Arabidopsis thaliana: one gene and its partners. The protein of the gene in region 1 interacts with the protein of each later gene in a pairwise test. Each region holds a gene or a part of one and is shown in the gene's direction. Other genes may lie near its edges.

What was found.
Region 2: the proteins of UMAMIT30 (region 1) and AT1G65690 interact in a protein complementation assay, tested with the Arabidopsis thaliana proteins (one large-scale study listed by BioGRID).
Region 3: the proteins of UMAMIT30 (region 1) and RBL2 interact in a protein complementation assay, tested with the Arabidopsis thaliana proteins (one large-scale study listed by BioGRID).
Region 4: the proteins of UMAMIT30 (region 1) and AT1G07860 interact in a protein complementation assay, tested with the Arabidopsis thaliana proteins (one large-scale study listed by BioGRID).

The regions. Positions count from the first base shown.
Region 1 is NC_003075.7:604,737-613,722, forward strand, and holds UMAMIT30 (nodulin MtN21 /EamA-like transporter family protein), read left to right. Parts: upstream 1-3,536; 5' UTR 3,537-3,849; coding exon 3,850-4,034; intron 4,035-4,407; coding exon 4,408-4,470; intron 4,471-4,619; coding exon 4,620-4,736; intron 4,737-4,831; coding exon 4,832-5,219; coding exon of another isoform or gene 5,220-5,255; exon of another isoform or gene 5,256-5,308; coding exon 5,309-5,460; intron 5,461-5,570; coding exon 5,571-5,751; 3' UTR 5,752-6,029; downstream 6,030-8,986.
Region 2 is NC_003070.9:24,427,997-24,436,121, reverse strand, and holds AT1G65690 (Late embryogenesis abundant (LEA) hydroxyproline-rich glycoprotein family), read left to right. Parts: upstream 1-2,956; 5' UTR 2,957-3,223; coding exon 3,224-3,686; intron 3,687-4,184; coding exon 4,185-4,480; 3' UTR 4,481-4,705; downstream 4,706-8,125. Other genes in the region: LSM8 (Small nuclear ribonucleoprotein family protein), read left to right, coding at 252-288, 384-424, 518-592, 936-1,012, 1,294-1,345, 1,425-1,477, 1,569-1,659; EXPB6 (beta expansin 6), read right to left, coding at 5,452-5,776, 5,985-6,178, 6,555-6,661, 6,787-6,805, 7,221-7,247; EXPB2 (expansin B2), read right to left, coding at 7,723-8,050. UniProt on the Arabidopsis thaliana protein: Plays an important role in the abiotic stresses-induced abscisic acid (ABA) signaling and biosynthesis. Acts as a positive regulator of ABA-mediated seed germination inhibition. Functions downstream of ABF2/AREB1, ABF4/AREB2 and ABF3.
Region 3 is NC_003070.9:23,406,093-23,414,968, reverse strand, and holds RBL2 (RHOMBOID-like 2), read left to right. Parts: upstream 1-3,829; 5' UTR 3,830-4,243; coding exon 4,244-4,518; intron 4,519-5,057; coding exon 5,058-5,221; intron 5,222-5,334; coding exon 5,335-5,498; intron 5,499-5,564; coding exon 5,565-5,915; 3' UTR 5,916-6,165; downstream 6,166-8,876. Other genes in the region: AT1G63130 (Tetratricopeptide repeat (TPR)-like superfamily protein), read right to left, coding at 223-2,115; AT1G63110 (GPI transamidase subunit PIG-U), read right to left, coding at 7,212-7,304, 7,497-7,553, 7,648-7,733, 7,808-7,865, 7,971-8,139, 8,243-8,299, 8,465-8,721, 8,800-8,876. UniProt on the Arabidopsis thaliana protein: Rhomboid-type serine protease that catalyzes intramembrane proteolysis. Can cleave the Drosophila proteins Spitz and Keren. May function in pollen elongation.
Region 4 is NC_003070.9:2,426,226-2,433,582, reverse strand, and holds AT1G07860 (Serine/Threonine-kinase RLCKVII protein), read left to right. Parts: upstream 1-4,151; coding exon 4,152-4,317; intron 4,318-4,357; exon of another isoform or gene 4,358-4,399; coding exon 4,400-4,641; 3' UTR 4,642-4,672; downstream 4,673-7,357. Other genes in the region: AT1G07870 (Protein kinase superfamily protein), read left to right, coding at 1,740-1,881, 2,240-2,478, 2,576-2,765, 2,871-3,262, 3,342-3,640, 4,205-4,317, 4,400-4,641; AT1G07850 (transferring glycosyl group transferase (DUF604)), read right to left, coding at 4,864-4,983, 5,145-5,690, 5,804-6,206, 6,282-6,838; AT1G07840 (Sas10/Utp3/C1D family), read right to left, coding at 7,158-7,169, 7,277-7,357.

The DNA.
Region 1 (8,986 bases):
GTTCTTGTTTTTTTTTTCTTTTTTTCTTTTTTATATATAAACTTCAGTGCTCTTTATTGGGTTTGTTATTTTCTAATTTGAGCCTAAACTCTTAATATAATATGTTGTATTTTCCTGTGGGGAAAAAAATATATATGTTGTATCTTTTCCTAGTTTAAGGCAATTTTGACTCAGTATTTCTTCCTACTGAGGCAATCGTACACATGAGGCAGCTACGTTAGCATGTGCTTTTATGAGCATGACGCATATATACGGTTAGATTTGTTATGGCACTAGACTCTAGTATTCTTTTCTTTCTTGACATCATTATGGCTCTAGTATTCTTTTAACTAAATAAAATGTCCAGGATTGTAGAATTTCAATTCTAACCTAGAAAAGTAAATTCACACTAAAACGCATTTCTTTGGGCACAGGATAGAGAAGCTAGACATGAAAAGCAAATTAGGGATGGTGTTGGGCCTTTTAATATACACTGGAGGAGCTTTATTGCTCAAAATGTACATATTAGAAAGTCATCAACTGATGAAGAATATATAAAATATTAGACTAATAAAAGAGTAACAGAAATTCATAACCCAAACAATAATGTAGTAGATGGTGGTTTTCTATGTTTTTTGCTTTAGTTGTGGGCTTGAGCGCCGGTTTGCTTGAATCATGTAGTTGATTAGACTCTTAGTGTTCTGCAACTATATATATGGCACCCAGACGGCAAAAGAAAATGTAGTAAAGCGTGTAACAAATAAATAAAAAAATATGAAAAAAATATTATATTGTTGTAGAAAATAGTGACCTATAGGCTATAATAAATCATAAAGTAAAGTAAAGTCGACAAGATATGTTTTGGTAATGAGGAAGACGAAGAACAAGAGAAGTAAATACAATTCGAAACGTTTTAGAGTATGTGAAGATGGAACTAAAGAGTAAAGACACACACAAAAATTGCTTTGTATATCCTTTTTTTTTTTGGATAGTTGTTAAGGTTATATGCCACTATCGTATAATTTTTGTTAGAACTAAACGAATATATCATAAGTAAAGTTTGAGGAATAATTTGCCGTTTACAGGAACTCACACTGTGTGACACATCACACATGGCTACGTGAAAGATTCTCTCAAAAGACACTCACCTCCTGTCAAGAGATCTCTACAGCTAGAAGCTTCTCTCAAAGGTCATAATCAAACAACCGTATTAGAAGATTCAAATGGCATCTTAACCTTTTTTGTACCATATCCACATTGCCAACATTTAGTTCTCGATCACCATCAAGAGGTCCCAATAATCTAGTACAATACAGCTGAATGGCTTGAGCTGAAGAAGGTATCTGATTCGAATCATGGTTAGATAAAACCTACAAGTACCTTGTTATTTAGCACATTAATTGAAAGTAATATATATTCTCACCGTAAATGATCACTACATTGAGTGATCATTGGTTTACTTTCTAAAAGTTTTAGATTATTTATCAATATTGTTTCATTTATTTCGTTTTTCTTACAACAAATAACAGATTAATTAGACGAAACCATTTTCTACTATTCAGCTCTCCAAAGAATGACCTGGTCCCATTTTCTTAATTGACTGTCGAAGTGCCAACGAAAACACACCACACTAATGTCTTTTATCTATCGATGTTTATTTGAAAAACATAATACTGTATTTATTTTCTCACTTAGAGGCGTTCAGAGTCTCCCTCTCCACTACTGGAAGTCAGAGATTGTGGGAGTGAATAGTTTATGGATAAAAATTTTTCTCAAATCAAATACGTTTTTCAGTTGTGCGATCTATGATATATTTTGGTGGGAGTGAATAGGTTTTGGATATGACAGATACACATTTTACTCGTGGGTGGGGTATTTAGCTTACACTTATATAGACATGATAACTATACAGTACATGGCATTTCACTGGATTTGGGAAATTTACTGTTAAATCATATTAATGGTTTGCTCTATTACGTGAGTTTTACCTTCTGAATATTATAGTTGGAGACAAAACTTTAATGCTTTTAAAAGTATAATTGGGAAAATCTTTTTTCTTGCAAAATTAAAACATTTTATTTGGCAGGTGGCAACAAGTTTATTGTCAATTAGCTTCAGGATGTGTGATAACAAAAAAACTTCAAATGTAGCCTTGCCATAAGCTTCACCGCTTATGGTTTTCGTTGATGATTTAATCCTCGAATGTCTATGCTTTCATGTTTTTTACAAAAATTTCTCGGACCAATTAAATCCTAAACTTTCATTTTTTGAAATGATATTTACAGTTCTTATATTCAAAAAAAAAATCAACTATGTGACCAGTGGAAGAAACATTATTCATGTGTTATTTGAATGTCTTTCAATATAAAGTTGGGTAATTTGTTTTGATGCAAGTAGTAGTAAAGTTTATTTTTTATTTTTTTATTATGTGGTTAATCTGGAAGTATGGAACCAAAAAAAAAAAAAAATAAGGAGGTCATCTGAAACCATCGGAGTTTGGTTGATAAAACTTTTCTAAAAAAAACTGTATTTTTTATAGTTTATTATGACATTACGAACATATTTTAATTTTAATTTTTTGCTGTTTGGCTCCAATTGGGCTTATAAAATCTGGTATTTACGAAAAAGGAAATCTAATTATCTTATCATCAGTAAGCTTACATATTAATAAATCTTAAACAGAAAAGAATTTGGTGTACTTGTCAATTTACAATGTGTCGTATACCTTATAAGTTTATAGAGATAGTGAAAGTATGTTTTAAATTATAATTTTGCTTCTTTTTGGGGGAAATATTAATTCAATTGTTCGGTACAAAGGCAACTTTGCTTTCATTTGATGAAATGATTGGGTTTTATCCATTTCTTTAATTTTTGTTAAAATGATTACACTGAACTCGTAATTAACAACGTGAGCAAAACAACAATTTTTAATTCGATTAGTGCTACATATATAGTCGATAAATATAATAAGAAAAGTTGACGACAAACTCAGTTATGGACCGGGGTGGGTAGCTTATTAGTGAAGCTGTTGTGTTATAAACTTATAGTACTGTTTTAAATTTAGAAGAGTATTTGTATGAGATTTAGTTGTATAAGAAAAGAAAAAACTAATTTTCATATTATTAATTTAATTTTATGTCTTTAATTACCATTATTTAGTCGTGACTTAAATAAATCTAACATATTGAGAAATTAATTATAATTTTTTGACACCACTAAACTTTACTGAGTAGTGGTGTTAGTTTTATATTTCCTAGTATTTAGTTGTATTTTTTTTTTTGTAGTTTGACATACCCGTATATCATTTACCTAATAGTTAATATCTTTAGAAATATATACTATTAGCATGCCCCCGCATAGTTTATAACAAATATATAGTTAATAACTTAATACATATAGAAACATCATTCATATGTGGTATATACATCATCACAGTTACATATAAATATATATATATATATATATATTACTAATCCCTTCCACCGAGAAAAACAGTATATTCTATACCTACAATTTCAAAAAACAAATGTTTCATATAACTTTACTTAATAGTTTTTTTTTTTTTTCTGTTAAAGAACTTTACTTAGTAGTTCTATAATTTGTTTCATAGTTAAAAAAGAATTCAATACCTACTCGTTCTTTAAATATTTTCATTGTTTTTTGTTGTTTTAGAAAGAAATGGGCTCCAACTCAACATCCATGTTATTTATAAATATATCCACCTCTAGTCTTAATATTTCACTACTCAAACAAGTTTCTGAAGAAGAGACAGAGAGAGAAGGATAGAGTAAAAGCTAAGAGAGAGAGCGAGACTGAGAGAGAAAGAAAGAGATATCATTTTGGTTATTAAGTAATTAACTTATACTAATCATGGGTTTTATCGATGGAAAGTGGGCACCAATGATAGTCTTAATTGTTTCTAACATGATTGCGGGAATGGTTAATGCTTTAGTTAAGAAAGTTCTTGATGGAGGCATCAATCATATGGTTATTGCTACTTATCGTTTGGGTATATCTACTCTTTTCCTTCTTCCAGTCGCTTATTTTTGGGAACGGTACGTTTACTACTTCTTCTTTGATTTTTATTTTCGTAGCTTTCAGATTTTTATACATTTCGTTATGCCTTAATAAAATAATAAAATATTTAAAAGTTTGTGGCAGTGTTTTTAAAAAAATTGAATTTTGGTTACTATGTTGTGAAAATACAAGAAGACACAAATATCACGTTTGATGCTTCATCTCTATCTTTTTTTTTCTGGCTAATTACTTTATTTAATTTATTTTATTTCATAAGATAAAAGAATATTAACTTGAAAACAATAAAGAGTATATACTAGAGAGTTTCATGAATGTTTTTCTATGTACGGATATAGAATCAGAATTGTGTGTGCCTAACAAAATAAATATTCGATTTCATGATTTGTTCAGGAAAACAAGACCAAAGCTAACTCTAAGCATCTCATGTCAGCTTTTCGTCAGTGCCCTTTTTGGGTAAGTTTCGGTTTTAATCCACTAAATCCTTATGTTTTTCTATTCTCTCCCTCTTTATTGCTTTTTTTGTATGTTTATGTAAGATGTTATTTTTTTTTGTTTTTGATAAAATGAAATATAATCGTTTATCATAAATCTTTCTTTTTCAGGGCGAGCTTGATGCAATATTTCTACTTGCTTGGACTGTCCTACACGTCTGCAACGCTGGGATCTGCTTTCTGGGCCATAATGCCTTCCCTCACTTTCGTTATGGCTTTAATATTTGGGTACAATTATTGTTAAAATAAAGAAAAGTGCCATATACGCTATCATCTCAAGTGTAATCTTACACCTTTTTATTTTGAAAAAATAAAATTTGCAGGTTCGAAAAGCTAAGTTTGAAAACAAAAATAGGATACGGTGTCGTTCTTGGAACTTTGATAAGCTTAGTAGGAGGTTTACTTCTTACTATGTATCAAGGGATTCCATTAACAAACTCTCCAGAACAAGCAGCAAATTCAAATAACCACACAGGACATGAGAATTGGATCAAAGGTTGTTTCTTTTTATTGACCGGAGTTGTTCTTTTCAGTTCTTGGATGCTTATACAAGCCAAGATCAACGTGAAATACCCTTGTCCATACTCGAGTACCGTTATTTTGTCGGTCTTTGGTACGCTTCAATGCGCCCTTCTTAGTTTAATTAAGACTAGACATTTGGAAGATTGGATCCTTAGAGATGAGCTTACCATCATCACCGTCGTTATAGCGGTATATAAGACAATGTTTCGTCAGACATATAAATAATTTGGATCCACACAATAATCAGATATTGATCTATTGTTAATATATGTTTATAGGGAGTGGTTGCACAAGGTATGTGTACGGTGGGCATGTCGTGGTGTATCAAACAACAAGGACCTGTCGTTTCCTCATCATTTAGTCCTGTCGTGCTTATGTCTGCAACCGTGTTCGATTTCTTGATTCTTCATCGTGAGATTTATTTGGGAAGGTATATTATTAAAAATCTAACTGTATTAACTTTATATTTTAACTATATAAACCTCTTGAATATATTATATCATGTGCATGTTATGGACTAAACTTTTATTATTGTTGTAGCGTTATTGGATCTGTGGTGGTTGTGATCGGTTTATATATATTTCTATGGAGTAGGAGTAAGCAAATAGTAGAGTGTAAGATCATGAAGTTGCCTACCAATACGGTGGAAGAAGAAAAGGAAGAGGAAGGCCGTACAAATGTTAACAACGGTCAACTTTTGGTTATTCCGATGACTCCTTGATCTACTTCCCTAAACACGCTTGTTCAACAAGAATCATGACCGATATGTCTTCAAAAAATGAAATATGAAGAAGAGAAGATAACGATCGTTTTCATTGTTTATTGGACTATTTCATACTTTTATTGGACAATTTCGTACTTGTGTTGCAACGTTTAGTTTTTTTGGGGATTTTAATTCCTACGGGATTCATTTGGATACTGTAATTTGTTTATGTGAATAAACAGTGTCGAAAAACAGAAATAAACAGTATCGAATATAACCTTAATTGACAGAACAAATTATTCAATCTGCATCTTTTTACGTAAAAAATAAATAACGTAAAATAATAATAGTTGAAAAACTAAAGTTTACAATAGATTCTTGTGAGCTTTCAATACCTTTATTTGGTTTCTTTTACTCAATACCTAAGTTTCAACATAATTCGATTCTCGATTTCTCGTGGATGGTGTGACATACTTTGACGTCCTTATTGATGAGAGTCATATTAGTAAACGGTCGATTACGTACTCCGAATTTATGGAAATTATTTCAATGTTCTTTCTTTTTTTTATCAAATTATTTCAATGTTTTTGTTCTGTAAATATGACTATTATTGCAAATGTTAACAAACACGAATAGTTATTTATTTCCTAAAAGGCGAGTACAGGGTATGTTGGGCTACTATGACATCTTCGTACTTTATTTTTTTCATGTTTTATATACTTTATTAAATATTTCTTTTTTGTTTATAAATCATTACCCACCAGAAAAAGAAATCGCTATTGCTTTGCTTTTTCTTTACAATACTGCTGAGGAGATGGCACACGAAAGGAGTGAAAGCTCAATCACTTCAAAAAGATTTTTAGGATCCAAACACATAATATGCAAATATATATGATGAAGCAGTCACCAAATCAGGAACTATATATAGTAATAAATACTCAGTATATATAAATGTCGCATCGTTATACACGACAAGGGGTCTCTACCAAAGTGCTCGCTCTAAAGCATGGTTTTTTCTTCTTTGTTTTAAAGTTCCTTAACAAATTAAGAATAAAAATCATTTTTAAAGTCTTGTTCACCTGTTCTCTTCACTTGCTTAGCAGCCTCGCATTCAACAACTAAGAGTCTTCCTTGCTTTCGTCACTTTCAACTCCATACATCAAACAAAATCGCCTAGGACTCTGAGATGTCCAAACTCAAATATTCGAAAAATTAATTTACGTAATTAGTGTAAATTTTTTAAAATCTCCGTTACATTTTCAAAGTCACGCCAGTTTTTTTTTTTTCCCCGAGATGTTTCCGGCGTTTTCTTCATTAATTCCTCATTCCACCATAACCATTTATGTGCTTAGTGTTTTGTTACTTTCTTTTTTTTTTGTCATCTTCAGAAAAGCTCCGTTACCGGGAATGGAACCCGGGTCTCCTGGGTGAAAGCCAGATATCCTAACCGCTGAGTGTTTAAGTTACCTTCTGTTTTGTCATGTTTTTTTTTTTTTTGACTAAAATGATGTCAAGATAACTAATGGCTACTGAGATATTATTGTAAAACTACTAGTCTAATAACACCCACAACGACACTTTGGAATGTGTAATCATGACGAGCTTCTTTTCCACGTCATTCTTATTGAATGAATTCACAAATCATGGATATTTTATTTTGCTTTAGAATATTTTTTTATTTAACTTTAAGTTTTGTACCTGATCTATTTTGACTATACATTTAATGCATAAATATTTTAAATCAAGATTCACGTTAAGTTTCAAATTCTACATTTGTTGCGTGAAATCCGTGACTAGAAAAAAACATGTTATATAAATTTATCACATACTACCAATAAATATTAATGAGCTGAATTTTAATCTTATGTATTGTACATGCTTGATTGTTTGACCGTGGAATTTATATAGCAGCCATAATTACGGAATTCGTGTGCTTTATACAAAAACGGTTAAAATAAAACATAAACTAATGAAAAAGACGATAATTATGGTGATAAAATATGTTTGAAATTGTCTCGTGGTTATTTACTTCGTTGGCTGCGTTTGCTTAATTATATTTAATGGCTTCGCATTTTTGCATGGCGAACCCCACGACAGTTTCTTATCTTTTAGCAAGAAAGCATGAACACATGTCAGAATCACCTAGAATACGATTTCGACCGCTTAATTCATGCATAACATATATATTTAAAAAGTAATTAAAGTCGAAAATCCATTATATGTAGTCATTTTAATATATAAAGTAACAACACGTAAAAAGTGGTGATGGTTATTGAAACTCTTTATTGACCAAACGACTCCGTTACTGATCACTGATCAATGACATCAAAATAATTGAGCTTTTCCTCAGCCACATCAATATTATTGAATTTACGACATAAAATATCATGCATGTTTTGTTTATATATATTGTCTTTCTATAAAGTTCTCCCTAGTTCAATTCCTGGTGGAGCGGATGTTTTACGTCTTTATAAGATTTTAGCAAAGACTGATCCTGGGCCATGGAGAAGATTAACGCTTAAACCCAAACTCCTTCTAGTTATAAAAAACAAATAAATCTAAAATGTATATACTTTTAGTTATCTTTTGAGATACTAATCGTAATTCAATTTCACTGACTGCTTACGGTTAAGCACTACAAATATATTAATCGTAATTCATTTTTACTGAATGCTTACGCTTAAGCACTACAAATTTCATTGGTCCCTAAAGTCCGGTTTACCAACTATATATGTAGTTATATATTGCTCACTTTGTTTTTTTGTAAATTTTCTTTTGCTCACCTTTTGATAATACTATTGTAAAATAGTTATGAGATCTTTTTAAAAATGGAAAGAACAAGCAAGTTGATTTATTAATACAATTCCAACTCAAGTTAGTGGATTAGAAAGTATTTGCAAATGGACAAGATCGAAAACATATATTTCACGAAAAGAGAAATGGATCAGTATTCTATAAACGAAATGCGTCAAAAAGCTTGGTCATATTGAAGTTTTGGTCGTTTATCTTGAAAGAGACAATCAAAGAAAGCAAAACCGATTTGTTACAGGAAACAAAAAAACGTATGACGTAACTATGAATCAATTATTTTTAAAAACAATATAAAGAAATGGATTTAAATTTAATTAACTATAAAGCTATAGATAAGGTAGATTTTGCATGATTGAACCAATGCTTTGTCTCGACATAAGATAATCAATCGTTGGATTAATGGACGAGGCACCAAGTGTTACTTGTATAAAAATGATAAAAT
Region 2 (8,125 bases), on another chromosome or scaffold:
CGGTGAACCAGAACCTGTTTTACATTCGTTTTCTATTCGGTGGTTTCTTTTAATTTAGGTCAAATTACACTGGAATTATCATTTGTTTCTCGTAATTCTGGATTTATGTTAAGTTTGGTGAAATCTCTCGTTGAGATGGATACGAAATCTATTAATTTTTCATTGTTATCCGTAAGCACACCAAGTGTTCGATGAAATTCCTAGTCTAATTTTTAGTAACCTTTCAGTTCAAATAATTTCCGAACTGTAACATGGCGGCAACTACTGGACTTGAGACTCTCGTCGATCGTAAGTTAGTCTTTTTTTTTGCCATTCTCGATTGATATGTGATGTTCTGTCACATGAATTGTCTAAAGATCTTATCTTTTGATTGGTTGCTGCAGAGATTATTTCGGTGATTACAAATGACGGACGCAACATTGTGGTATGTTATACTCTCTTGTGTGATATCTGGTTTAGAACTCCTTATGTCAATGCAAGTATCTTAGTAAAGAGATCGATTTTTATATTTTTTCAGGGAGTTCTTAAAGGTTTTGACCAGGCTACAAATATAATCCTTGATGAATCTCATGAACGTGTGTTTTCCACAAAGGTTAGCTTCTGATTCCTGTTTTAAAGTATTTTCATCTGAACTTTTCGATGTTACTAAATTGAATGGGTGCAAATACATTTTTCTGCAAGTAAATTGGCCAGTGTATGACCTGCAAAACCTTGTTGGTTTGTATCCATGAGTGGCTATGATGTAGCAGAGTTCTCGATGTCTCCATATTTTGTTTGTAGTGATCGCATAAAACTAGAAAAATAGAGGTACTATAAGGATGCTAGTTTATCTTTTGTTCATTGTCACTCAAAGCATCTTTCGTCGTCTGGTATTGATCTTTTAATTGGTACTACGTTCTTGCTAATAATGTACATTGCTTGATTTAGTTGCGTAGTGTCATCTTTTCAACAGAATATTGAGGAAACTTACTCAGATATTTAAGATAGGCCTTGTCCTACAGTTCTTTGTTTGGTAAGAGAATAGTGAATCATGAACTAACTGGCCTCTGAATGGAAGTATCTAAATCAGATAGTGTTGGATACACCGAAACAGATTTAGTGTTAGTATTCTTCGAGTGTTATAACTGATTGAAAAAATCTTGTGAGTTCATATGTCAAAAGATTTAGCTAGTGATAGGTAAGTCAAATACGTAGATATTGGCAGTGTGTAATTAATTATACATGATCACCTCCTTTTTTTCGTAAGAGGGTTAAAGGTTTGATTCATGTCTGTTTTCTTGTTTACACTAAGAGTATGTCAGGTCATGTTGATACTTCATTAGACAAATGTTCTTGGATATTTTTGGTGTGAAGGCAGAGTTCTGTTAAAATGATGGATATTGGAATTAGGATTGAGACCTCTTACTATGTCTTCATCTTTGCAGGAAGGAGTACAACAACATGTGTTGGGTTTGTACATCATCAGAGGGGACAACATGTAATTCTTATCATCCATCATCATCAGTGATTTTCTAACATTGCAATTGTTTTTTTGTTTCAATAAAAAAAATGGTGTCATCTTTGATCAGAGGTGTTATCGGGGAGCTGGACGAGGAGCTTGATGCTAGTCTGGATTTTTCGAAGCTGAGAGCCCATCCGTTGAAACCCGTAGTGCATTGATTGAATATAGTTATGGTGAGAAAATCTAATTCTCTCATTCAAAGCCTAAAAACAAAGAGAAGATTTGATTGTAAACAATTTGGATAGTTTGTTTTGATGTCTGGAGTTGTCTTATTTGTGTATCCTAAGGACAAAAGCTATATGATATTTTATGTCTTAAACGTTTTGGTCGGAAACTTAAATCATACAATCTTTTGGACGGACCTAGGTTTGCTACTAGACCACAAATTCTTTGATTAGAAAAAAAACTTTTATTGTTAACCAAAATTTTATAGATATTCAAATTGCAAAAGAAAAAAAAAAGAGGAATTAGTTTCTGGTATCTTACAAATTATAATGTCGTTGCAATTTCATCTAGAAGGATTATATACATCATCAAATCTATCAACATCAACAAATGGCCGTATTTAAAACTTAGAAGCATCATACATTTTCTATAAGACAACAATATAGATATTAACTTAATATGTCATTCTCCCATAGTCGCATCATACAAGTCGTTGGTTTTGGTAATAACTCGCCAAAACCAAACACTTCTGATTTCATCGGAGTCTTGGGTCTTCTTTTACGATTCCAATGTAATATTCTTCATATTAAGTGATTTATTTCTTGAAATTTTTCATAGTAAGTGTTATCAGAAGCTTTTGATTTTTGGTTATTAATATGAAGAACAAAAGAATTGCGTTCTAAAAATTTTTCGTTGATAACGATTAATATTAAACAGAAACACTACAAATAAATTAACATCGTTGGGGCCTAGGGATTTCGAATGGAATTTTATTTGCAAAAAAAATAATAAAATAAAGCATGTTAACAAAAAAGTAAAAGAAAAAAAATTCATGACGAAATGCATGAGAACACTGCTGCATAAGTCTTAGGGGATTAGGTCAACAAAAGTAAAGTAGATCTTCATCAAATGTATTTTGACTTTATAATGTACCTATTAGTCAAACTATATGCGATCTAAATATTAAAAACTTGTATTTTCTCAAAGACAATGCGAGGCGTAAATATATGAAATTTTATTTTGTAGATTAAGTACCATTTATATATGAAATATAAATAAATCAAGAAGAGTAAACATGAAAGAGCAAAAGAGTAAATAGAAAAAATTATAGGAAATAAAAAGAAACAAATAGTAATTGGAAAATATCTTAAGTGGATATAACTTTTAGTTGTTTGATAATGTATAGGACTACAATATATGTATTTTCCAAAAAGTCATCCTAATTTTTCCATCTATATTGCAAGTAATTTGATACCTACTAATGATTTTTATTTTTTTTATTTGATGGGTTCACATCAAACTCAATTTCCATAAAAGACCGCTACCTAAGCAGACACGCAAATTCACATTACACGTGTGATGTGTTGTATGGAAGCGAATGTACTTGTTTTTCATAATCTATAGGTTCATATAGAGAAGTCTCTCCATTGAAAAGTTCTTCCCTCTTGACTTTAAAAACTCCATAAGGTCCCTACTTATATTAATTTCCCAAACCCCTAAATAAGATCTACAAACAAAGCTTCTTCTTCTTCTTGGTGTCATCAAGATTTTCCAAAAATGTCTCAACACCAAAAAATCTATCCGGTCCAAGATCCAGAAGCCGCAACAGCGCGTCCAACAGCTCCTTTGGTTCCTCGTGGTTCCTCTAGATCAGAACATGGAGACCCATCCAAAGTCCCTTTGAACCAAAGGCCACAACGGTTCGTGCCGTTGGCTCCTCCAAAGAAGAGAAGAAGTTGTTGTTGCAGATGCTTTTGCTACACGTTCTGCTTTCTTTTGCTTCTTGTCGTTGCAGTAGGCGCATCCATTGGTATACTATACCTTGTCTTTAAACCGAAGCTACCGGATTACTCTATTGACCGGTTACAGCTCACCCGGTTTGCACTGAACCAAGACTCGAGTTTGACTACGGCTTTTAACGTGACTATAACCGCTAAGAATCCGAACGAGAAGATTGGAATTTATTATGAAGATGGGAGCAAGATTACCGTGTGGTACATGGAACATCAACTAAGCAATGGTACGTCACTTTTGGTTTACTCCGGTTTGCTTTCTTTTGGTTTTTTAACGTAGGAAGGCTTCAAAATCTCACTACAAAACCGGTTTATTTGGTTGATTTCTGTTCTTTTCCTTTGGTTTGGTTCGTACACAAGGAAGACTTTAAAACTCTTTTCAAATTAGGGATGTCTAAATTTTTTTGGTTGGCTTTGGGTTTACTTTCATTTTGGATTAGGATTGTCAAATACTGTATATCTTTAGTTTCAAACAAAATTTGGTTTAGATAGTTTTTGTTCGGTTCATATTCAATAGTTCGGATATAATAGAGTTAATTCATTCAAATCAATCGTTTTTGGTAGAGTTGGATCATACCGGTTTATCCGGACTGAAAACCCCAAAACTAAACATATTTATTTATGTTGTTTGGTTTTCTTGTTTGATTATAATTCGTTTACACCATTTCAAACCGGGTCTTCTTATAGATTTAACTTCATTGAACTTTTGTGATTTTTTTGAATAGGGTCGTTGCCAAAATTTTACCAAGGACATGAAAATACGACAGTGATATACGTAGAAATGACTGGTCAAACACAAAATGCATCGGGTTTAAGGACGACATTAGAAGAGCAACAACAAAGAACCGGGAATATACCATTGAGAATTAGAGTAAACCAACCGGTTCGGGTCAAATTTGGGAAGTTGAAGCTCTTCGAAGTAAGATTCTTGGTCAGATGTGGTGTATTTGTTGATAGCTTGGCTACCAATAATGTTATTAAGATTCAAAGTAGTAGTTGCAAATTTCGTCTTAGGTTATAGATCCGTTTTTTTTTATATAATTAATATCGAGATATACAGAGGGAATTTTGTCAGATATAGTCACATACTCATATATAGTTCTCCTCTAAAGTACATTATTGTGTCTCAGACCTTTGTTGTATAATAAACTGTTGGTTTAAATTAATATATTAAAGTATACAATACTATGTACATAGGTGGAATTCAAAGTATAGTAGTTGTAAGTTTTTAAAACCAGAGCATGTCCACCACTCCACCTTACCTTCTTTTAAGCAAACAATTGGTTGAAGGTAGACTCCAAAATTCAGTTTTAACTACTTACAACTTAAATTGGAGGTAACTCCAAGATCTTAGTTATGAATTCAAATTTGCATTAGATTTACTTGTTCCAACAATTACTTCTGGTATTCTAAAGCAAAGACCAAACTCAATAAATAAACCTTATGGTAAGACATTCCAAGCAACATGAAAGAGATAATAAAGAGACATAGATATATAGAACAAACTGAATTTTTGCGAGAAGAGAGAGACATGTAGAAAAGAAACGCTAAAAGAACTTACACAAAGAAGATTCATGTACTTAACTTGTGACAGTCCTCTGTAACAATTTGAGAACTATCCTCATGAAGTAAGGTCCTGAATCAAAAGTACAAAGAAACAAATTCCTAGTTCAAGTTATATACCAAACCGAAGTCTTTGTAGTTGTACAACCAGTTTCAGGAGGAAGGCTACCTTTGAAAGGTATTGTAACACTGGCTAGAGAATGAGCATAATGTCGATAATTTTTCTTTTGATGAAAAAAGATTTAGAGAATGGCAAAAAATATAATATATGCGCTCATATTGGTGGTAAGTCATATATCTTTCTATTATTCGTTACTATATCATAAGCTTTGTATATTATTTGGCCAAAAAAAAAAAGATTTGTATATTGTAGTTTGACTAGAGAAAAACAATGAAATGTGTCGGATTTCAAATTTGACAAAGAAAACTCTACTTAAAGTTCACAACTGAACGGTAAGTTTCATTAGGTTTCCAATTCGCCGGAATAACATTATAAGCTAGGACTACTTTATGAGATTCAGCAGAAGTAAGTCTGATGTTGAATGGTCCTGTTAGAGGACTGCCAGAGCTGATCTTCCATACAGCAGACCTCATTTCTTGCATGGGGATGAATTCTCCGTCGGCTGGTTGAATTTCTATATAGGCCAAATCTCCATCACCGTTTTCATACTCGACAACAAATGAAATGTAGTACGGATTTGCTCCAGGGTCCATACGGAAAGCTATGTTAGTTCTTCGATATAAACATTCCACGCTGATCAAAAAACAATAGTCAATATTTTGATTCGTATATCATAGAAAATAGTTGAATTTTAATTAAATAATATTTCTGTAAAGATAATAACAAAAATGAAAACATTGATTTCTTTGATTTATCAAAAAAAAAAAATTCAACTCAAAACCTAGATATACATACTAAAAGGAAAAATTTTAAAACAAAAATTATGTAAGTATATAAGTACCGTCTGTAGTAAACACGTAGAACACCAGCCGATCGAAGTCGATCGCCTTGGCCAGGTCTGGCTAAGGCACCCATGGCTTTGCCGCTAAGATCAAAGTGGGCTGGTTCAGAGGCACAAGGACCACCAGGGCATTCGTCGGTTATCGTCACCGTTATTGGTCTCCTCGAGCATGCTGGATGCCCATTGCATAGAATCTGATAAATAAAAATGTTAACATATACTATATAGTTGATGAAAGTAAAATCTTGTTGTAACCATATAACATACATTCAGATCTTGCATGCTATGTCAATTTTTTTTCCAACCCAAATTTTTAATGTTCATTCTGATTAATTAAAAAAGACATATGAACTGGTCATTTTATTGAATATAATTACACAATTTTTTTTTACGTTTTATGAACAATCTTAGCTACATATATATAAAATTGTATCATCTTTTCTGAAAATACTATTCTAACTAATATATTACCTAAAAAGCATTAACAAAGCTGACCAAAAGGGCATAAATTCTGTGTTACATACGTAACACTATGCTCTTGAGTCTTGCCCTATATACATTCATACAAACCTGAAAACATGTTCCACATCCTATTCCATTGTTGAACACTGAAGGACCTCCAGCTGAAACCATCCCGTATAATGGTGGATTAGCCACTGCGAAACCACAAGCTCCTCCTATATATAACCATATATATATACACATTTAAGCATCATATATATTCATATAAAGAATTTACTATTCTAAAATGTATGTGTGTATATATATATATATTGTTACAAATATGTAATTTTGTTAGTACCGGTGCTACCGGCGCCTAACTTAAAGAAACAAAGACACACACGATTTAACGAGTTCACGTTCCTCAACCGGAATCGCTACGTCTCGCCGGAGAATCTCTCCGGAAATCCACTAGAACCTTTCTTTACAATGTATCTTTACAAGTTTTCTCTCTCTAGTTCTCTCTAGAACTTGATTACAATTCTCTCTCTTTCTCTATCTCCGATCTAACAGAATTACAGAGAAGAAGAAGAAGATATAGTTACAGAGCTCATGCGAAAAGACCAAAACGCCCTCAAGCTTGTTATGACCTTAGTCAGCTCGCCTCACGTGTTATGACTTTAGTCAGCTCGCCTCACGTGTTATGACTTTAGTCACAACAGACTTCGAACCCTCTCTTTCACCGAGTTTCTCCCACACTTAGACCCGAAAACTAAAATCTGAGTCACTTCTTACAAATGGAAAATCAAGCTCTCCAATCATCACGTACGAAAGGTAAATTTAAGGTAAAACTTAAGTCTAAACGATAAATGCATTCAAGAAAGGAAAACAAAATGTGATTTATGTTAAATAAATTTTGGTAATTGATTTCAAAATCATGTATTAACTTGCTATAAAAAAAAATTGTAAATAAATAACATCATTTCATTTATGTAAGTCAAAATATTTGATACCATATTCATTAATGTATACTTGCCTATATGGACAAATACATTAGCTTTTCTTTTTTTTAGCTTAAAAATCCTTTCCTTTTATAAAGTATATCACCCTGGATACAAGTTTTCTGTGTAAAGGCGTAAACTTACCACATATATATGACATATGTATAAACCACAACTCAAATGAACAAACATTTGAGCACACTAGACCTAATTTATATTATTGCCACCACACGGGATTGAACATTTAAGTAAGAGATATTATTTATACTTTATGATTAGTTTAGTTCTAGCTAGTCTTAAAAGTTGACGTTGGATTTGTATATCGCACCGGGTTGCCAGTTTGCGGGAATGACATTGGAAGCCACAACAGTCTTGCCGGATTCCAACGAAGTCACTCGGAGAGAGAGCGGGGCACGCAAAGGTGACGACACGTCGAGCTTCCACACGGCGCCCCATGATTGGCTCATAGACAACCACTTGTCAGAATCTAGAGCTTGTTTGAGTTCAATTCGGCCAATTTCGCCGTCTCCGTTTACATACGCAACCAAAACCGCGAAGGAGTTAGCGTTTGAACCTTTATCCACTTGAAATGTCACCGTTTTGCCTATATAGTTGCACTCAACCCTAAACACACACACATACCAATGAAACACAATTACATAACAAGTAAATATAACCTTACTAAATTAGTATAGAATA
Region 3 (8,876 bases), on another chromosome or scaffold:
ATAATAATGACACGTCTGAGATCTTGTTCTGATGCTCACAAATTGATCTCGTGTGTGTTAACCTAACAATGAATTACACAAAGCAAAGTATCAGTCATCTTCATGAAGCTTACACACACGACAGCAACCAAATACACACATGTAGCTTGAGAAGTAAACAGAGTAAGGCAACATAAAGACTTGATTCACCTCACGATCCTCTTCTCTCGAGGATAAACTGTTTTAAGAAAGCATCTTGAGAAAGCTTTTGTCCAATCTCCCATCATGCAACATATTAGTGACCAAGCCAATGGTTGAAGCATCTCCAACAAACCTGCAACTCCTCATTTCTCTGATGAGTTCAGCTGATGCTGCTTTGTCACCATCTCTCAGATGTGCCCTGATAAGCGTATTATATGTACCACTATCTGGAAGAGGCCCTTCTTCTTTCATTTCTCTAAACAAGGCATCTGCTTCTTCCTTTAAACCTTTCCTACAAAATCCTGACATCATTGTTGTGTAGGTTACAACATTAGGCTTCACTCCTTTAAGGCTGAGGCTACAAAATAGATCCCACCCATCTTCCACCTTCCCTGCCTTGCACATCCCTTCAATCATAATATTATATGTGTAAATATCAGGTTCCATTTTACTCCTTTGCAGATACTCAAACACCACCAATGCTGTCTCTACCTTCCCATTATTACAAAGCCCATCTAATAAAATGCTGTATGTCATAATATCGGGAAGCACACCATCAGAAACCATCTGTTTGAAAACTATTTGGGCATTATCACACTCTCTAGCTTGAAAAAATCCATGGATAAGAGTGGTGTAAGTGACTGTGTTGCCAACCAATCCTCTTTGAGACATCTCGCGGAAGAGTTCCATACCTTCGTCTACTCTCTTAGCCTTACAAAATCCCTTTATAAGAGTATTGTAAGTCACTACGTTTGGGAAACAGTCCTTGCTAATCATCAACTCAAACATGTGCTTGGCCTCGTCTAAACGATCGTGCATACAAAACCCATTGATCAGTGAACTATAAGTGAAAATATCAGGATCTATAGACCTTTTGATCATCTCGTCGTACAATTTCTCAGCCTCTACAAGCTTCCCCTCCTTCACAAATGCATCAATCAATGCGCTGAAAGTGACTACATTTGGATTGATTTTCCTCTCAATCATATCACTGAGTAGTCGAGAAGCATCACTCCATCTTCCGTAATTACAAAGGCATCTTATGAGGGAGTTGTAGGTAACAACATTTGGTCTAATTCCTTTGTTATCCATTTCAGTGAACAGATTGAGTGCATCATTCACGTTTTTGTAGTTGCAAAGAGCATCAATGATAGTGTTGTAGATCACAACACCAGGCTCTATTTTCCCTTGTTCCATCTTCTTTAACAAACTCAAAGCCAAATCAATATCACCTCTCTTACATAATCCATTTACTACAATACCATAAGTAACCAGATCTGGTTGACAACCTTTCACAACCATCCGGTCAACTAAAGCCACTGCTTCTGAAGCTCTGTTGTGGCGAAAAAGTCCATGAATTAGAGTGTTGAATGTGAATGAATCGGGCTGATATCCCATTTCCACCATCTGACCAACAAGAGATACGGCATCTGAAATCCTATTCCCGTGACAGAAACCATTGAGCAGAGAGTTAAGCGTGACAATATCGGGCTCATAGCCGAGTTTCATCATCTTGGCAAGAACAGCTAAAGCAAGAGAGAGCTGAGAGCGTCGGCAGAAACAGTTGATGAGAATACTGTATGTGTAAAGATTATGTGAAATTCCCAAATTTTGCATCTGCTCGCCGAGAGAGATGACAAGATCGAACTTGTTCATCTTAGCAATGGCACTCAACAGTTTACTGAACTCAACAATCGAAGGGAAAGGACGAGACTTGACCATGTCACCGAACAGATTAACCGCATCATCTAGCTTCAAATCATTTAGCCTATTTATCGATATTTTTCTGTAATCATATCTAACACCAGAGAAATCTCGTACCCAGAAACTGCAATGGCTAAAGGAAGGAGGAGCAGTTCCACATTTACCTTTTCCGAGAAGACTCCGATGAACAAATCTGTTTCCCGTCGATGAAATCGCAAACAATCTCCTCATCTTCAGCTGATTGGGGTTTCTTCCAAAATCACTGATTCAGAATCGTAAACTCTCTGTAAACTTGTATAAACCCTAAATGATGAACCTTTTGCAGACAGAGAGAGTAAAGGTTTGAACTTTTGGTTCTACCAAACCAAACAGAGAGAGAGACTCACATAGGCTGAGAGAGTGAGAGTGATATTCATCCAGTTTCGCACCACCGTTGGATCATTTGACCGGTCAAGATTTCATCTTATCATTTTTATCACCGGTTTGGTTTATAATCACATAATGTATTTTTTTTTGGTTTAGTTCTAAATTGAAAGGCCAGCATTAGCAAATAAATATGAAAAAAACAAAGAAGATTATCAAGTTTTGCTATTTTGGTTCCATATTTGTCTAACTATATTTCCTTCATTTTTTTTTTTATTGCTGAGATGTCCCTTTCTAATTAAGGTGAAACCGCGTGGACCTTACCAATTTATATCTTGGATTGTAAAGATCTATATCTGTTTGGTTCCACTTGTATATGATACAATGATACAATACAAGTTTGGTCATTATCATTTTTTCTAATCATATGTCAACAAAACCAAAGTATGCATTCATTTTGCAAAATATACACATCTATTTGTATCACCTCCCAAACATTTCTCCCATTATACGGACTTGGACAAGTATTCATACCTCTGCAAAAGTCTTATTGATAAATGAATGTGAAAGTACATACAATTGGTTTAGAACATTAAACACGAGTTTGGTTTGGACACATGGCTTTCATATACTCCTTAGTGATAAATTATGGTTAATTATAACCATCTTTGAAGTTTATTCTAATATTTTATTTATTAATTTCATTGATATGGTTTCAAACGTCAAGGAATATTAAACCTTTTACGAAAAAATTTCGGGTGGATCATATAATATCTTCCCTTCAATCCTCAAAGTTCTCGAACTCTACCAATACCTACAAGGCTACAAAAATTTATACACCATTGAAATATGCTGCAACGAAGTCCATTTAAGGCCTGATGATAAATTCCTTGGAGATCGACAATAATATCCAAGCGATTGTTAGTGAGATTATAGAGTTAGTCTTTGTTGGATTCAATAGTTTGTTCCACAATGTAAAAGTCGACTATTCTAAAGAAGCCCTTGGCAACTTATTAAATCTTATAAATAGTTAAATATCGAGACCGTAGAACCTTTTGCTATATATAGTTTTTCGTCAGAAAAAAAAAGTCTTCATGCTAGAGAAAAAAAAGTTTAACTTATAAATACCATGCTATAATTAAAACAAAATAACACGTACTACAAATAGTACTAGCTTATATTTTCTCTCTTTTTTAATAATTAATTTTCTAAAAAAATACATATCTTAAGAAAATATTATTAAAATTAATTATGAATATATTATTTTTTGTGTTTTATATTTTTTTATAATTAAAAATCAATAATATTTAATTATTTATCTTGAAATTTGATATTCATCAATAATATCTAATTAATATTGCAAAAAAATCTAGAAATCCATCTTTTAAAAACACTTTTTTGTATAAAAAAAAATAAAAAAATAAAACCCTTTTTGTAAAAAATTCAATTAAGAAAAAATAAAAGGAGTATATGTTTTATCTTCTCTTTTTACTTTAACAAAATACCTTGTTTTTTTGTTGTTTTCAAGTTATATATTTTGTAATCTTGTCGCAGGTCTGAGTTGTTTTTTGCACTCAGAAAAGAAACTTGTACTAAAACCTAGGAGAGGAGGAGCTGGCACCACCGCCTAACTCGCCATTGACACAACACCAAAAACTCTTCTTTACTTTTTGTTATTCTACACACATCGATAAAGATTAAGAACATAATTAATAGAATTCCATAAATAATTAGATGCACTAACTTTTCAACATCAATTCAACGGTTTAAATTCGTGAAAAAGCGTTTTTATTTTATTTTAATGGTTACAACTTTGTAGTTTTTACCCTAAATCTCTCTCTGATTACTGATACTCTGTCTCAATCTCTTCTTTCTTCTAATCCTTTATTTCTTGTAAGCTACTTCTCCTGAATTTCGTATTTGATCCGTTTAATCCAAGTTTCGATTTTATATAACAACCACATAGACAGAGAGAGAGAGAGAGAGAAACAGAGTAATGGCGAACAGAGATGTGGAGAGAGTAGGGAAGAAAAACAGAGGAGCTAATAACAATTATTTCTACGAGGAGTCTTCTGGTGAAACTCATTGGACTTCATGGCTGATTCCGGCGATTGTAGTGGCAAATCTCGCTGTCTTTATCGCTGTTATGTTCGTTAATGATTGTCCTAAGAAAATCACCGGACCTAACAAAGAGTGTGTTGCTAGATTCCTCGGAAGATTCTCGTTTCAACCACTTAAAGAGAATCCTCTCTTTGGTCCTTCTTCTTCAACGTAAGTATTACTTTAAAGTTGGAGATTCATGTTTCATCTTCTGGGTATCTCCAAAGTCTCAAACTTTTTGGGAGTCCAATTCGCAATTGAATTTGATCACTATTGTCTGTTCTTATGGAAATTGAGCTCAAAGTTTTCATTTTTCTGCAGTAATTAAGATTACCCAATTAGTGCCTTACTGATAACGTCAATGAATTTGTAGTTGAAGCTCGAGATTCTAGAATTTGTTAATCTAAGTTACTGGCAAACAAGTTTGATCTTTTGGGTACCTAAAACGTCTCAATTTTTTTTGTTTTCAACAAACTGAAAAAGTCTCAATTTTTGTGTTTTCAACTTGGCAATTGAATTTGATCTTTATTGTCTGTTAGTGGCTTGGAACATGAGCTCAAACTTGTAGGGTTTCTCAAAGTTTTTATTTTTCTCCTGGAATTATGTATTTAGCTTGGTTTGGAATTATGATTTGTAAATTTCATTGGCAATTATTGTAGTGATGGTGTTTGTGATTGATTTGGTTTTACTCGGATATGTACTTGTATCAGATTGGAGAAAATGGGAGCATTGGAATGGAGGAAAGTAGTACATGAACATCAAGGATGGAGACTTCTCTCTTGTATGTGGCTTCACGCTGGTATCATTCATCTTCTTACAAACATGTTGAGTTTGATCTTCATTGGTATCCGCCTTGAGCAGCAATTTGGCTTCAGTAAGTCTTACCTTTACGTGTACAAGAATTATTGTTCAGTCAAGTTTTAGACTCTCTTTGTTTAATCGCCAAGTGAAACATTTGATCTTTATCGCGGGAATGTTACTGTGCAGTAAGAGTCGGGTTGATATACTTAATATCGGGTCTCGGTGGAAGCATACTTTCGTCGCTTTTCCTTCAAGAAAGTATCTCTGTTGGTGCTTCGGGTGCTCTCTTTGGACTTCTTGGAGCAATGTTATCTGAACTTCTTACCAATTGGACTATCTATGCCAACAAGGTACTTATGCCCTTTTCGCTATACGCGCCTTAACCGGAACTTAGGATTAACGGCTTCTTTTGGCAGGCGGCTGCTCTGATCACACTTCTGTTCATCATCGCAATCAACTTAGCATTAGGCATGCTTCCTCGGGTTGACAACTTTGCACACATTGGAGGGTTTTTAACCGGATTCTGCCTCGGGTTTGTCCTCCTTGTCCGACCTCAGTACGGTTGGGAAGCTTCCCGCACCAACACTTCGCGAACCAAACGAAAGTATAGCATGTACCAGTACGTGCTGTTTGTAGTTTCAGTGGTGCTACTTGTGGTTGGGCTAACGGTTGCATTAGTGATGCTTTTCAAAGGAGAGAATGGGAACAAACATTGCAAATGGTGTCATTACCTTAGCTGTTTCCCAACTTCTAAATGGACCTGCTAATCATCATCATCATCATCATAATCATATAGTAAAAGCTTTTATATGTGTTCTTGTTAACATTTAATCTCTTTGATCTCTCTAGCCTTTGATTATTTATATATGTGTACATTACCAAATTCGTCTTGTGTAAAAGGGGATAGAAATAAAAGAGTGTATTATTTTTACATTTGAACACCATATTTCTCAAACTGTCTTTAAGTACATAAATAGTAAACAATTTTATTAATGTAAAACATAAGCTGTAATTGGAAATAAATTCCTTTAATTTGGTTATAGTACACACTTTATAGTATCCATCTTAGGTCTTGTAGATTATTATTCTTCCTTTGCTTCAAATTCTTCTTTCTCTAGATCTCTTTCTTCTTGAGTTTAACATGATAGCCATTTGGAAATTGCAATCCAGGAGTTCGAAGTATATTTCCTCCACTAGTTTCTTCCCATCTGATGAAATCCAAGAAACAAAATTACAAAATCAAGAACCATTAGTTGTCTTAACTTAACAGATGAAAAAGGAGTAGTTTCAAACTGTATTTTGTGACTGAGCTATGAAGGAAAACTGCAGTTTGAAGTTTGAACTTTGCTGAAGTCAGCTCCGATACACAACCGCATTCCATCACCAAACGCCATGAAATTCCATCACCACACGCCATCAATACAATATATAATACCAAGATATGCAATCATGCATACATCAGCTTCATGCAATATATGCATAATTTTTAGGAGATTTCAGATGTCACAAGATCGAATTGAACATATATTTTCAACAGTGTGAAATACAGTTATACGGTTAGGGTCTGATTTTTGTTTTTGGTACCACGTGGGTTTTACAAGTTTTTATGATATTACAAATAAATTAATAATGCATCACACTTCATTTATTGTGAATGGGTGACTTTTAAGAAAACAATGACCAAACACCACCCAATAACCTTCCTGCACTGTGTCATTTAGGCCTTAATGGTGCAGTGGATAAGGATAAAGTACGGGACATAGACAATGCCTTTAATCATCCACCATTCACAAATGATAATACCTTGTATACATGCGATGTAACTTCAAATATAGGGATGATTGTGTGCTTTGCGGATCAAAACAAGAACTTTAAAACCTCTCGGTAAAAAGTACAAATTAATGGTTACTCTAAACGGAAAGGCACAGGAGATTTGTTATTTATATGATGTTCTCAAACAAAGAAAAGCTACTCACACAAATCACATGTTGCCAACTTTAAGCTAAAGACCCAACTCTTTTCTTTACGTGTAACAGAAAAGTGGCGCAATGACCTTCAATGGCTTAGCTCTTGACTTCTCGATGGTTTGAGTTTGATCTCTTCAGCGCCCTGTCATGGTTTAGCATTGCGCTTACGCTCTCAACCACGAAAACGATCTGTAAAGAAAAGCAGAAACCCGTATGCGGGTTTTAGTCAAGATAACCCAAAACTACAACATTCTTTGATCAATAACTGATGATCTCATCATCCTCTGCTTGATATCATCAAATTTTGTACTATATGAGTATCAACTCCCAACTACTGAATAGAATAATGAATTTTGAAATGGATCCAGGCCTATATTTTACCTGAAAGCACGCGTAGCCGATAGCGTTTCCAAAGTAGAAATTTGCATTTCCGGTTCCCTGTCATGAAAAAATCAAAGGTAGTTGTGATCATTAGAACATTTTGTTGCAACTGCTGTGAAGAGTTGGGTTATGGATTTGAGTAGAAGCTTACCCGCCATATCCAGAGATTGTGCATCACAGGGCTGAGGAGAGAGATCCCGAGATATCCACAGAAGAGGAAGAACGAGAACTTCATATCTATGTGAAACAGAAGCAGAGTTTATATGCAAAGGCTAAACAATGCTAAGAGGATGTGAAGTATTTGCTTTTACCTAATAACTCATTGACAAACAATGCCCATAAGCTCAAGTATAACGCCGAATCTCCGACCTATTGAGAGTAAATCAAATGATGAAAGCATTGTTAACATTTATGAATATAATTCCTCAAAGAAGAAAAGATAACTTCAAGTTCACAGTGAATTCAACTACTTACTGAAGGATAAGATTTAAGAATCGAGGAGATCGCTAAGTATATGAAAGCCAGGAAACATGGCCGATGTTTCAACCTTATGGCTAAGGGCAGTAACATGAACAGAATATTTACGTGTAAAACTATCAGAAAAAAGTTTCTGAAGAAGTCGAATACTTCTGCAAAGAAGTACCTGAAAACGAGATTTAAAACGAACAGTAAATAGTCTTTTCATAAAAGAAGGGATCCCTTATTCATCACCCAATGATATCACCATATTAATTTATTTTACTTACCAAAAGACTCCAATGTTTGGTGAAAGATCTTCAATACTAAGAATGAAACCATACGTCCTACAATAGGAGGCAAAGACAAACAAACATCAAATCGCCTAAACACTACGTTGCAAGTTCTTAATAAATAATTATATGATTTGGAATATAAGTTATAGATATAATATGGCTAACGGAAACTAATCCTATAGCGGTTATGAATAAGATTTCTAAGTTAGAGGCTACCTCTTGAACATCTCCTCAAGCCCACCATATTTATTCAGTGATAAGGCACATAAAATCAACACATAGAGTGACCACAGAAGTACCCAGAACAAGAAGTGTGCGACTGTTTTCCATAAGAAAGGAAGGTGCGTAGTCTGTTTCAACTTGGCTTGTTTAGAAACAGTAGAGGTTGAACTCTCCTCATTTTCTACACTTCTGGTCTGAAGGAACAATTTTATAGGAGGAGCATCCAAACCATATCCCAATAGAAAGATTATCTGTGGGAAATGCACGAGCAGTTAGAATTTGTTTAATTTGAGAAACGTGAAAAACATAAAATAAGAAATGATACATACTGGAATTGTCAGAGTAGCAGGATAAAGAGATAAATGTGTGGCAATGACTAAGCCAAATGCTGCCAGAGGAACTCGTC
Region 4 (7,357 bases), on another chromosome or scaffold:
TTCTTAAATAATTCGAGCTGTCAAACTAAGTTCTAATTTAAACTTATTTCAATCCATTGTTGATTAAAATTTTGATATATTTATAGAAAATCCATTTTCTTAATAAAAAGGAGTTGACTAGGTTTTTTAATGCTGGCCCAAGAGGCCAACAGAAAGGAAAGTCCACTTTTGTGCTTATTATAAATTTACTGAAACAAATATCAAAATAGTAGGTATAAAACATTTCAAAAACTCTACACCAATTGATATACGACATTTTTTTCCAGTTAAAAATGCTAATTATAGCCGAATACAATACAAATTGTAATCCACCAATTAATGTTATATACATGAATTCTTCATTGTATTAAAAAAATGAATCTTCACTTTATCTAGTTGAAAACTTAATGCAAACTAACGAGCAATGGGTTAAATGAAATGACTCATCAGACGTTGGGCCATCGTGGGCTTGGAGTAAACTGAAAATGGAATATCAATGTTAAACAAATTTCTCGATTACTAGAATAATAAACACCAAAAAAGTTTAGTGAGTAAAACATTTTTTTTTTCTTTCTGTCTAACTTACTATTTTTTCGAACAGAGCATATAGCTTTTACTATTTTTGCCAGCAAAGGATGGCCTGTCTCTCATAAAGTTATTTTACGGCCTAAAATGTCAACGTATTGTAACAGGAGTTGTTAATGTACCCTAAACCTTATAGGTAAAAGAAATGAATGAGAGAGATTAAATAATCTTCTCCGAAGAACATTAATATGTGCCACGTGGCGCTATCTGCTGAAACGCGGCACAGTTAATTACTGTACTTGGAACCATAAAACAAAAAAAGCCTGTTATTAATTAAATAATTTTTTGAAAAAACATTCGACAACAAAGCGCGTGGAGTTAAAACGTGGGACCCACAATGACGTCCTTTTTGTTTTCCTCACCTCATTTGAAAATATTTCCAAAACGGTGAGTAATTTTGCCGTCGTCTAACACCGACGTCACCCGTAAGGCGATTGGTGACAGCTACAAAAATGTTACTATCATCAGACTTATCTTTCAATCAAATATAATCATAATCCAATTTAATCTACCATACCTGTCAAACCATCGAGTAAAAAACGTGTTTGTTGTAGCTAATAAAATTTTTAAGACTAATACTGAAAATTGACAAACTAGAAAGATGTTTGGCAGTATGAAAATAATTTTATCAAGAAGTGACATAATCTTTAATCACTCAAATCCATTGCTCCATTAACGCCACGTCAGATCGACGGTGCTTGTTTCCGAACCAACGGACGGTAGATGACAAATTAAAAAGTTGACCATGCTCAAGTGTTTCGTGCCATTACGTGGCGTCTTCTGATACGTTTGTCTTCAACACTAGCCGTACGTTTCTGTTCTCCTCAGGAAGAAACATTTGTCTAGACGTGGCTGGTTTTAATTAGACGCGCTATATGTAATGTACCGTGAACCTTGTCGTAGACGATAACTATACGTTTCTCTCTGAAACAAAGAAAATTAAACAACTTTTTTTGATTACGCGATATAAAAAAAGGCGAAGAAATTAAGCTTTCTCTGTTTGTCACTAAGCTCTCTCTCTCTCCTTCTTCTTCGACTTTTTTTTTTCTTCCTCTCTTCTCTTTGGTTTTTTGGTGTTGGGTTTTATCTGGGTTCCTGATTTCTTCAACGAGGAAGGAAGGAAGAAGAAGAGAAAAGGGACAAGCGAGAATTACTCTTTTCTCCTTCAATTTCCGATGGGTTGTTTCGGATGCAGTAAGAAATCGAGCAAACGATCCGAGACTAACAAAGATACTGTCATAAATAGAAAAATTGTCGGTGGTACTACGAGCGTTGCTAAGAGTGATAAGCGAGACGATCAGACTCAGCCCAGTTCAGGTATCGAGTGATTTTGACTAATTTCGTTATTCTCTCTTCTCCACAAGCTCTCTTTTGGATTTGTTGATTTTTTTTTATCGGATACTTATGTTTAGGTTTTTCTGTATCTGTTACATTTGGGAGAGACATTTAATGGAGATTTTTTGTGATTTTTCCCCGGAGAATTTTGATGCATGTGTACTATTCACCATATAAACGATGTTGGGTTTTTGAAATCGAGCTAGTTTTTTTTGGTTTTGTCTCCTCCATGAGGGGACAAAGTGTCAAAATTGAGCCTTTGGTATCTTGCCGTGTCTGTTTTTGGTTAAGTCACATGATAACTGGTAATCGATTTTGTTACTCGTTCCATGTGTTGTAGATTCAACAAAAGTCAGTCCATATAGAGATGTAAACAATGAAGGAGGAGTTGGTAAGGAAGATCAGTTATCTTTGGATGTGAAGGGTTTGAATCTAAATGACCAAGTCACAGGGAAGAAAGCACAGACTTTTACTTTTCAAGAACTTGCAGAAGCTACGGGAAACTTTAGATCGGATTGTTTTCTTGGTGAAGGAGGTTTCGGAAAAGTTTTCAAGGGAACTATAGAGAAATTGGATCAGGTACTTGTGACAAAGAAAAATCCTATCTGTTTTTATCAATTGGCTGTGAGATTTGTCATAGTTTTGAACGGTTGGTGAAACTTGGTTCTGCTGCTAGGTTGTTGCAATCAAGCAACTTGATCGTAATGGGGTTCAAGGAATCAGGGAATTTGTGGTTGAGGTATTGACTCTAAGTCTTGCTGACCATCCGAATCTTGTGAAGCTTATTGGGTTTTGTGCTGAGGGTGATCAGAGACTACTGGTGTACGAGTATATGCCGCAAGGATCCCTTGAAGATCATCTACATGGTATGTTGTAAGATCAAATTCCTATCCTTTGCCTCTGTATTGTTTGTCTCGCAGCTACCCCCTTTTCTCATCTAACTTTTACATTGTTGTTTTGACTGTTTCAAGTTCTCCCTTCTGGTAAAAAGCCTCTTGACTGGAACACCCGGATGAAAATAGCAGCTGGTGCAGCAAGAGGTTTAGAGTATCTGCATGACAGAATGACGCCCCCTGTGATTTACCGAGATCTTAAATGTTCGAATATTTTGCTTGGTGAAGACTATCAACCGAAACTATCTGACTTTGGGTTGGCTAAAGTAGGACCAAGCGGGGATAAAACCCATGTCTCGACAAGGGTTATGGGAACGTACGGATACTGTGCTCCTGACTACGCTATGACGGGTCAGCTCACATTTAAATCCGATATATACAGTTTTGGAGTAGTCCTTCTCGAGCTTATCACCGGAAGGAAAGCGATTGACAATACAAAAACGCGTAAAGATCAGAATTTGGTTGGATGGGTATGTTTTGTCTCTTGGCTGTGACTCATAATAATCTTTACTGAAACAAGACTCATATTTTCACGGTGCTTTTTAACAGGCACGACCATTGTTCAAAGACAGGAGGAACTTCCCAAAAATGGTTGATCCATTGCTTCAGGGACAATACCCAGTTAGAGGACTGTACCAAGCACTAGCAATATCAGCAATGTGCGTTCAAGAGCAGCCTACCATGAGACCAGTGGTATCTGATGTAGTATTGGCTCTCAACTTCTTAGCCTCTTCTAAATATGATCCGAATAGCCCTAGCAGCAGCAGCGGGAAGAACCCTTCTTTTCACAGAGACAGAGATGATGAAGAGAAAAGACCACACCTCGTCAAGGAAACTGAATGTGAAGGGTCCTCATAGGATATCCAATAAGAGAGTGGTAAAAAATCAAATCTAATTTTGGCTTCACCAAGAAATTGGGGAAAAATATAAAACCAACTCAGGTACATTTTTAACATCTATTGTGGATGTAAATCTTGACTCGGCTTCTTTGTATGTAGAATGTTTCTGTTCTGTAGAAAAGGAAAAAAAAAAAAAACCATTTTGTTTTGGGACATATATACATATATTGAACAAAAACAAATATCGTTGGTCATATATATATTTTCCCGATCAAAAAGTCTGGTAAATTAGGATTAAGTAATGTCTAAAAATTCATAATGATGAATGGCAAAAGTCGTAAATATGTAATAGAAATAGGACTATGATCACGTGATGCAACTTATCCCGCGTGAACCCGTTAAGATTTTTGCCGTTAAATAACCAAAACCTAATCCAAGAAGGCTTCACAAATCTCTTCTCTCTTATCTCTCTCTACTGGTTTTGTGATTCTTGGAAGAGAAGCTACAAGATAAGACAACAATGGCGGAAAGATCATTCTCTCAGCTCCCGATCTCTTCTTCTCACATTGGCAGAAGGACAGGAAACACCCGGAGAGGGATATTTCCGGTATCGGAGTATTGGATCCATGCAATTCCGGTGATCGTTTTTCTCTGTTTCTTCACCCTCTGGATTTTCTCCCACTCAGGTTCCTTATTTCTCCGATTCTTTAATCTAAGAAAAGATTTTCCCGAGAAAATGAGTCTTTCTGATTTTGGTTTTGGTTACAGTGAGCGTCATGAACGATGGAGAGATAATGTCGATACATCGTCTTGAGAAATCCATGGCCGTGAGAAACGAGTCTCATGTCAGTTTAGCGATTCTTGCTTCCTCTGCTGTTTCACCAGCCTCCTCAGCTCTCGTCGCCGTCGTCTCTACCAATCAGAATCTCACAACTTTTCACAACGCAACTCAATCGCAGCAAAATGCAACCCAGTCGGTGAACAAAGCAAAACAGCCACACGCAGTCTAATCTCTGAACGGAGAAAAGTTTCTTTCAGTTTCTTACTGATTTCTTTCATGAACAGATAACTTTCAGGGATTGAATTTTTCTTTTCTTTGTATTTGCTTCAGTTGAAACAATAGTTTTTGATTTAGGATTGAGAATTGTTTGTGAACGACGATACACAGAATGTTTTCAACAAATTGCATAGTCATTTGAAGAAATCTTTAGTGAGTATATATCTGAATCTTGTTAATGCTGCTGAGGATGTTCAAGCTCACTGATCTCTCCATCTGCGCAATTTCCGACCCAAATATACATCGTTTGGTTTCTCCTACTCGGCAATACTCTGCAACAATCCCTCCTCGGTGACTGCACCAAACACACAATTTTAACATCATGTTATTTCAACACCGGTTTATTATATGATCTCAGCCGGTTATCTCTGTCAATTCACTAGCCAAAACCAAACCGGTATGACTATATTTGATGCAAGTTGTTAATAATGAAGCAAAGAGAAGATGTGGACCAACCTTGTGCCATCGGAGGGGATCAGGTCGCTTGAGAACGACGACTGAATCGATCTTTCCAGGCGAATCGAGCCTCCATCGGCACCCGGGAATCCGCCTTGTCTTGTCCAAGTTGTAGTATCCAATCACTTGGCGACGTCCTTCATCATACTTAGCCGAGTTTAAGTAAAACACAAATGGTCTTTGGCACGGATGCCTCGACACTGGTCTCGTGTTAAACGCGTAACCAATGTAGTCGGCTTTGCGGAACCAGTTGAGGAATGTTCTTGAAGGCATCTCAAGTTCGCGAGGGGATATGATGCCTCGGATTATCTGGACTACGAAACCCCATGAGACCGAGATGGACCAGAACCGGTTCTGGTCGTAGCAGATGGACTGCTGGAATATGCTGGCTGGGTCAAGAACTGCTGAAGACATCAAGTGTCGTAGTGCACGTGACCGCTTCATCTTTGGGAATATCGGCTGCACCACATCGATGTGGTGCAGCGACACCAAGGGAGCCACTGGGTGTGCACCTAATAACCCCAATAAGTCCCCATAAACATCGTACTGCATACATAGAAACATTAAAATTAGACGTATTCAATCCAGATAAACCGTTCTAATCCGAACCGAAACCAAACCGAAGTAATTAAACATCGAGGAAACGTAGAAAATGACACCTGGTGAAAGCCAGGTTCTTTGGTGAGGGGTACACCAAGTTCAGTCATACAAGCTTGGATGCGATCATCACTGCCGTAGAGACCAGGATACCGTTGGATGCAACGGTCCTGCATCCGCAAGAGCTCGAGGGCTAGAGCATAGCTGATGGCGAACCCACCGCCTCCAAATGCCATTGAATATGAGAAGAAGATGTTCTGAACGTGAGCCTCCGAGGAGCTACCAACGTAGTAGAACTGAGTGTGGTCGTACTTTGAAAGGACGTTTACCACATTGTCCACCACAAACACTGTGTCGTCGTCTCCCATCACGAACCACCGTACACCTTTTTTGCCTAGCCGAAGCGTCTCCGTCACTACTCGAGATATCCTCACCGCTGATCTGTCCCCTACTGGATGGGTGTACCTAAAACATGACTTCTTGATTTGAATAAGAGATTTCTTGTAAAACACGTCAGATATTGTAGAGATGAGTAAGTACCTGAACCGTGAGGTGTCTTGGGAGATTCTGATTTCTGGAAGGGGATCGTTTCGGTAAGTTCTGACTCTCTTGTCAATCCAGACAACGCCACGAGTTTTACCAGGTCGCCACCATGATTTGATGTACTCTTTTCTCGTCTCCCACAGAACAGAGGACGCGGCAATCCCGAAAACGATGTGATCAAGCGTCGTGTTGAACATCCTTGGTCGCTGCGGGTAAAGAGCGGGGACACGTGGAGGCACATCGTCGTCTTCTTCCTCGGGAACAACAGAGGAAGATGAGTTTGCTTTGTCGACTAGGGACAGGTGGCTGTAGGTAGAAGAAGAGGGACGGCAGGTCTTGCGTGAGCCACCTCCTCCGGTTGTAGAGATGAGAAGCAAAGGGAGGAAGAAGAGGAAGATGAAGAGCCATGGCAGAGGAGATCTTAAGAAGCTTAGGTGAGAGGTCCGAGCAGAGTTGCTGTGGTTTTGTGCTTGGTTTCTTTGGTGGTGATGATCTTCTAGAAGTATGTTCTTAGGGTTGCTGAGATTGGTGTTAGAGCTCGAACTGTTTCCCATCGCTAATGGGAATAGAAAAGAAATAGATCGACACTACTTTGTTTTGTTTGTTTGTTTTCAATCAGATTTGGTGACATCTCTTTTTATAAATGATAACGAAGTTTCAGTAGTAACAGGCTAAATTTAGCTAAAGAGAAAAGGTCTCTTCCTAATTTTACTGCAAGAGCATGACCATGAACCAATACTAAAACTGATAACAAGTTCTCACATTCACCACTTTCAACATTTAATCATAAAAGCAAATCGAAAATTTGTATCTTTTTCATGGCAACAAAATTGGTGCACTGAAGCAGCTAAAGGAACCACTGGTGTATCCATATCAGTGCCTTGTCTGCGAAAATTGAACAATACATTGTCAAACACAAAAGAAACTGAAAAACAAAAACAAAAAAAGGCAGAATATTTGAGAAAAAAATAGTAGAATAAGAAAAAAGTTACCTTTCTTTTCTTGAATGGCCCTCCCCTTTTATTACGGCCGAAGCTTCTTGGCTTTTCACCATCCTTATCCAAGAACTTGAT